Linked DNA regions of Daphnia pulex. The protein of the gene in region 1 purifies or fractionates together with the protein of each later gene. This does not show direct contact. Links are inferred from orthologs where the notes say so. Each region holds a gene or a part of one and is shown on either strand. Other genes may lie near its edges.

The links. The genes of interacting proteins can lie anywhere in the genome.
Region 2: the proteins of hsp70-binding protein 1-like (region 1) and erythroid differentiation-related factor 1-like purify together in Homo sapiens (affinity purification with mass spectrometry; 3 studies listed by BioGRID and IntAct, counting the BioPlex papers as one, with this or other methods). This does not show direct contact. The link is inferred for Daphnia pulex from reciprocal best matches to the Homo sapiens genes HSPBP1 and EDRF1.

The regions. Positions count from the first base shown.
Region 1 is NC_060026.1:16,275,740-16,279,021, forward strand, and holds hsp70-binding protein 1-like, read right to left. Parts: upstream 1,946-3,282; 5' UTR 1,811-1,945; coding exon 1,525-1,810; intron 1,461-1,524; coding exon 1,239-1,460; intron 1,179-1,238; coding exon 1,023-1,178; intron 964-1,022; coding exon 755-963; intron 689-754; coding exon 620-688; 3' UTR 516-619; downstream 1-515. Other genes in the region: nuclear cap-binding protein subunit 2-like, read left to right, coding at 2,363-2,401, 2,547-2,633, 2,694-2,788, 2,853-2,991, 3,050-3,148. UniProt on the Homo sapiens protein: Inhibits HSPA1A chaperone activity by changing the conformation of the ATP-binding domain of HSPA1A and interfering with ATP binding. Interferes with ubiquitination mediated by STUB1 and inhibits chaperone-assisted degradation of immature CFTR.
Region 2 is NC_060026.1:4,184,213-4,187,968, forward strand, and holds the start of erythroid differentiation-related factor 1-like, read right to left. Parts: upstream 2,172-3,756; 5' UTR 1,821-2,171; coding exon 1,113-1,820; intron 1,049-1,112; coding exon 873-1,048; intron 802-872; coding exon 740-801; intron 670-739; coding exon 634-669; intron 569-633; coding exon 407-568; intron 321-406; coding exon 209-320; intron 148-208; coding exon 39-147; intron 1-38. UniProt on the Homo sapiens protein: Transcription factor involved in erythroid differentiation. Involved in transcriptional activation of the globin gene.

The DNA of each region.
Region 1 (3,282 bases):
GTATTTGAATGGAAATCTTATTGGAAGAGGTTTCGTTGAAGACCAAAACACCGTTGCAGGGCAATTCACTCCCGTGACGTTGCATTCGACGCTCAATCTATTACCTGGTGATCAAATCTGGTTGCAAATAGATTCCTTGTTGCCTCCGTTGATTGGCGACGGTACTGCAGCCCGTCGTAAAAGGCGAATGCTTCCGACAAAGGGAGTGATTTTATTCGACGATTATCGCCACTTTACTCATTTTACTGGATTGATGTTGGAGGAGGACATTTCACAATCGCTTTAATTTCTTTTCTTATTTTTAACTGATGCATTTAAAACAATTAAATTTTGCCTGTTACCTACAAACTTTTTCAGCAGAGACCTTCTTGTTAATACATATGTATTCTTTAGGATTGTAATGACCACAACAATCTTGAGGATCAATAGGATTGGTAGATTACGATAACAAAATTAGAGAACACCGTTCACGCTTCGATGGTTCACGAGAGAGTAAACAAACAAAAACGTAAAGATTATCAAAAGGACGTCGGTGTGTGTATTGCGCCTCCATATCATGAGCCTCTTTGTTTGCTTTTTAAATTCTCTTTCTATTGCCAGCAATCGAATGCCAATAACTTCACCTGTCTTCGACAATGTCTTCCTTGAAAATCACCGACAACAAAGTACGGCAATACTCGGCTTCCTCCTATCAAATGAAAATTCAAAGTTTAAAATTCGATTTCATTTTCAAGTATTGACTAATAATTATTACCAGACATTCGTCGCGATCTCCGATTAATTCGATGCGGTTGTCGAGAAATTCACGAAAGAGAAACTCTGATCTACGGCACTCCTCGATCGATGGGGGGTGGCTCTGGGTAAGTGCCAGCAAGGCGGCCAGTAGATGTTCGTGAGTCGAGTCGTGATCTCGTTGAAGCAGAGCCACAAACTGCTCCACAAATCCCATATTACATAAAGTATCTAGTAAACAGGGTATTGGTTAGAGTACAAATGGAGAAACTTATGAATGTGAATAAAACCTTTGAAGGATGGATTCTCATTGCATAAACAAGTCAACAAGAATGAAGCCTTGATTTTCAGTTTCCCGAGTGATGATTGCAGTGCTCTCAGTAAAGACGAGAAACCATCACAATGCACAAATGCATCCTGGGCTTCTGCACATTCTCTTGTCAAACCTATAATCAATCAATTGTTAACTGAATTCCCTTAGTGTGAGTTGTAAATCTGCTCATTACATGAAATGGCGTACAGGGCTTTGATTCTCGCCTCTTCACAGTCATCGTTTTCCAGCATTTTAAGCAAAATTGGCAATAGGTCTTCGTTGAGCACATGCTGTTGGCAGTATGGGTTGTTCTGGGTGAGGGTGCCAATCAACTGACAGCACCTCCAACGAACTCCATCGTGGGGAGAATTCAAACAGGGGATGAGGATGAAAAATCCTCCTATCTTGTGAAAGTCTGGAGAAACAAGCGAAACAAGTGTCAATGTTTTATTCAATCAATAAAAAAAGATATCTCATACCATTAGCCGTGTCCATGGAATCGGCAAAGTCAGTAATCATTTCCAATGCTTCCTCCATCTCCTGGGGATCTTCTTCAGGACTTTCGACTCGATCTGGATTGAGGATATTTAACGATTTTGATATTTCGGCTACAACGTCGACTGACAATCCTCTTAGAGCTTCTTCTAACCAGCGTCTCCTTTCTTCACTCATCGATGTGGTTGTGGTACGATCTTCAGCTGCGGTGCCTTCGATGGCAAATCTTAAAAGTCCTTGCATATCTCTTGGTTGTCGTGGGGGTTCCATTGTTTTGCTAAGGATCTCAACAACAACTTGTTATATATTTATGAAGAATAAGACGCAGTACGCAAGTTAAACCGTGAACGCATGGGGCAAGCAGACGTCAATGAAACTGTTTACTAGCAAAATCAAGAAGAGTCTGGAATAAAAAGAGCCATCTAGGCATGACTCGCATAACTTAAAAAATTTTGACATTTACAAAACAAACCTGTTAAGTTAATTAAGATTTGGATAAAATTCATTGAGATTTTAAAAAATTATTGAAAAAATCTGCGAAAGTGTGTCATATTTTTATTTGGTTTTTAATTGTAGTTTAACGCCGGAATGGGTTTCTAGCAAGTGACGTAACCTAGCGGCCGCCATAAGCATCTTTTCGAAAGTCACTCGCGTCAGGTTTGTTGTGTCAACGCACACTTTTTTTTAGAAAAAAACCACACCAATTTTAGTAATTTAAAACGCATAAAGTTTAGCCGGTTGATTGGCTGAATACAAGGACACTTAATTCGGAAGACACTGGGGTGAACGGTGTGATTGGTTCTCCCGAAATAATTCGTAGAAATGGCGGTTCCAAGCACATACCGAGACCAACATTTCAAAGTAAGCCTCATGAGTTGATAGCAGAATTGAAAATGTAACTTAATATACAGTTTTGAGGCAATTAATGTTTAAATGGAAATGCATACCTTAATAATTAAAAATATTTTGATATTTCAAGCCAAAATAACTGATTTCCATCTTTCAGGGTTCCCGGGTAGAGCAGGAGCGTCTGTTGAGTCAATCTTGCACCCTGTATGTTGGAAACTTGTCCTTTTACACAACTGAAGAACAGGTTAAATACTTCCAAGTCAACAATTGGTTCCATTTGATTTCATCTTTTCAAATATTTTAGATCCATGAATTGTTTGGGAAATGTGGCGATGTCAAGAGAATCATCATGGGATTGGACAAGTTTACTAGGACCCCTTGTGGATTTTGTTTTGTAGAGTAAGTCATTGCAACCAAATCCAATAACAAAATTGTGTTTAATTATTTCTAATTATCTTTCAAGGTTTTACCTGAGGAATGATTCAGAAAATGCCATCAGGTTTGTGAATGGGACAAGACTGGATGACAGAATTGTGAGAACTGACTGGGATGCTGGCTTCATTGAAGGAAGGCAATATGGCAGAGGCAAAACTGGAGGACAGGTCAGCATTTCGTCAGCTCAAACTTATTGTTCTCAACTAATGGATTTCTGTTTTGCAGGTGAGAGATGAATACCGAACTGACTTTGATGGTGGCAGAGGAGGATGGGGCAAAATGATTCAGCAGAAGGTGGCCACATCTGCTGCTGCTAACAATTGATAACATTTCTAAATACTGTATTCATTCATCTCTGTGTGTTTTTTTTTTTAACAAATGTCAACAAGTGTTATCCTCAATTAAAACAGACCATGCTGAATTGATTTCCTAAACAAAATCTTTTTTACCTGTGAAAG
Region 2 (3,756 bases), about 12 Mb from region 1:
AAAAAAAACCAAGAAATATTATTAAAAAATATTGCTACCTGTGGATATTTGGTTGCATCAAGAAGGGATAAGCAGTTCTTTAAAAGAGCTAAGACAGTGCCTTGATGTCGCTTCCAGTCGCTGGACATTTTCAAATTTCGCGCCACTCTAAAAAAACACATACGCATTCATTAAACAATTTACAATTCGCATTGGCAAACAATTTTACTTGAAAAGTAGCATGGCAACTGGTGTCGTAAATGGATTCTGGTTGATGTCTTCATTCAAATCATTGCACAACGAAGTAAGATCGTAAAGCTTCACAATATCATCGTCTTTTGCTGTTTCACGATGAAGACACGAAAAATTTAATGTGAGATCTTAATTTGAATAATTTCCTTGATTGCTTAAGTAAAAATTATTTTACCTTTGAACAGCCAATAAGTGTGGCCGGCTTTTGTGGCTTTAGACTTTAGGAAAGAGAGAATGTTTTGTGCGACATCTTTAATAATACCCGGCTTAAACTGCGATCCCGGTAGGCGTGGTAAATCGTCCGTTTTAATAAGCTCGTATTTTTGGACCAGACCACCTGTAACCATTAAAAGAATTTAACAACAATTTTTCCAGTTTTTCACGTAGCGCGACGCTATTTACCCAAATGATAGCACATCACAACTTCAGGAACATTGCCTACAAATATAATCATTAAAAAACTCGGTTACAAGATGTTAAACAAAGAAATAGCAGGTATATGACATACACATCAAGTTGTCAAGCCAGTAGTCCAGTCCTGTTAGCACATTAATTGGCTTCGACATATCTCTGATCAATTGACAAAATAAAAGAATTATTCATTTTAGCTATCAAGTAAATTTGCTTGACTTAAGGCTTACCTTAAGCGAAGCGAAAGACACGGGTGAGTCCCACCGCCAAAAATAGGCATATCTGTACCAATTAACATCCGCAAATCTTCAAATGTCCATATGATATTTTTAGAAAACTGGGGAAGAGCATCATCGTGAACATGACTTTCTTCTGGAACAGGATCACCAAGAGGATCAATTACAGGCTGGAAAAGACTTGTGTTACTAAGAATTCAAATTATAAGCACTTTAAATAGTACACAATTTTACCTGAACTTGATGATTCCTGTCCTGAACTTGGGTGTCTGCATTTTCTGACTCATTAAGGGCTATACTGTGATAGAGAAATTTTGAGATGAGGTTTTGTTGCTGCAGGTAGTCGCGACTGTGCCGGCTGGATTTCTTGTCTGAGGCTTTTTGCTTAGCACGACAGGAGGCAAAAATGTGTTCCAAATAAAACTTCTTCAGCCAACCCCATTCGTTTTCAGCTGCTCTCAGAAGGTGAGTGTGGATGTCAAATTCATCGAGCAGCAGTGTGTTTCCAACACGATGAACCATCATACTGACAGCACTTTTGCTGTACGGTATCTTCAGAAGCTTCTTGATATTTTCTGCATCACTCACCACATCAACTTCACCCATGGAATCTAAAAAAGATGAAGCCATGTGAAAACTGGCAAATTCTGTTGACTTTGGATTCCTGGAAACAGCTGGCCCAACTATCTTCTTAGGATGACTTAGCAACCAATTAGCTGGTGGTGTGTTCAAGTCGGTGTTGCTCTGTAATAAAGATAATCGTGGAGGAATACTGACTGTCGAATGCAAATCAAAAGCAAATGATTTGATTCTCTTTCCTTCGTTTTCATGTTCAGAATCTTTGCTAAGAAGTGGACGATAAATATCAATCGTCAAATCGTTCGCAGGGCTACTCATCTGCAATGTTCTCTCCTTTTCGTCGTCCTCTTCGCACGACTCCATAATGTCAACTAAAAAAAAACGACACCCGACACTGCGGGAGAACTCAATCAACACGTTTTTCCAGTCAATTCCAGCACTTTCGAAGGATCAAAACAGTCGGGTAATAATAACAGATGCCTCTTCTTGCTAGGCTGACTGCTATTATTAGACGTCAAGTTGGCGTGAAGCTTTCTTCTAGAATGCTCATTCCTAGTAGTTTTATTTGATTGTCTTACTGGCAAACGAGTAATCATGTTTGTTAATGCAGGGAATAATAATAATTAGTAGAACAAATATCCGTTGTTATGTACTGCGAATATCTACAAGCCACCAGGGGATGTTGGTTCCGTTTGTTTTACAACCAAAAGTTCCAAACTGCTGCGTTGAGGCCGAGGCGGGGACTATGAACAGCGCAATCGCTATAGAACTCACCGGTTTTTTCCTGGACGGAAAACTCCGGCGGAGCAGTGAATAGTGTAACATCTCCACAGTCGGTACACTCATGTTGCACAGTACCGACAACGAGAAACACGCCTCCAGTTTTCCTTGTGTTACCTCCTCCCATTGATTGAACTCGAAAAAAAAATTATTAACAACACATTTACGTCATGATTCACCGACTTCGTCGTCAATTGGCCAGTTGAGAGGTAAGTTAATATGGTAAACTTGCCTGGATTCCGTCCAAAATTTTCGTTTCTTTTCCTCTCTATCTCTCTCGCCTCTTTTTTACTGATTCTAACAAATCAACCGACGCTCATCAATTAGTCCGTCTATTTGCCAGGAAGCGTAGAAAAGGGTGGAGGGGGGCACCTATACCACTGTGTTGACGAGCTACGTTACCTAATTAAGAACTCGGGAGAAAAAACAGAAAAAAATATGACAGGAAGCAACAGCCAAAAAACAAAATAGCAGACGGCCTTGGTGAGAGCATCCGACTGGATCGTTGAATGCGGAGACTTTCAATCTTCCGGCATTATGCGGCATCAGCCAGGGAGAGAGGTGGTCCCGCCGAGATGGCTGGAACGCATGGCCATTAATAAAAGTTCAGTCTCTTGGAAAGCCATTCTAATCAGAGTGAGTGCCTTGAGAAGTCTATACGTCATAGGATCGACGTTGCGTGTCCTTCACGTCGACTTTTCTGTCAAGTGCAGCAGAGAACGGACACAGGAGTGCGTGGGAGGAGGGCGGTCAATTCACGACACGATCAAGCGCGGCCAAAAAACCGATTGAACTAAACTCCTTAGGAAAATCAAGGTAGTAGTTGTACAATATACACACACACAAGTTAAGACAAGCATATCGACCTCCCCGAGCTCTCTCCCACTTTGTGATGATTTCGTTTTATCTATCGATTGAGAAAAAACGGAATGGGCGAATGAAAAACTCGGAACTTGTTAGATGTGGCACGAGAGGGGGTCACGCTGGATGGCAAAAAGAATAGGTCGTGCGCCCTTTATTTTCTGTTCTTTCCGCCCCGCCGAGTCCAATCGTCCCCCCCCCCCCCTTTGATACCTCCTGTGTGTCTGTGTGTGTATATACGTGAGGTTAATCACAATCGTCAGTGTAGAGTCTAGGCCTTCCGGGGGGAGTGCTGGATGGCAAACGGTCGAGTCGATAAATAAGATCTATTATGCAGTGGGCGATATACTATATTCGGGAAACATGAGACTCAAGCTAAAGCCTATATGTGTGTATAGTCAAGTGTGTGTACTGTATCTTGCAGCACCAAGTGGTGAAGAGCAACCGATTCCTGGAGAATCGTACAGCACGAGGCAGGAGGAGGAGCAAGAAGAGAAGCTGTAAAGAGAGAGGAAAAAATCAATACCGTGCGCGGGACCTAACGACCGAACGGCTAGAGGGGGGGAGAAGAAAAGAGCAAAATAACATCGGAGCAAACAAAAATATGATAATAAAGAAAGAAAGGGAAAAAATAACGTTCGTCTCTCTGCTCTACCCA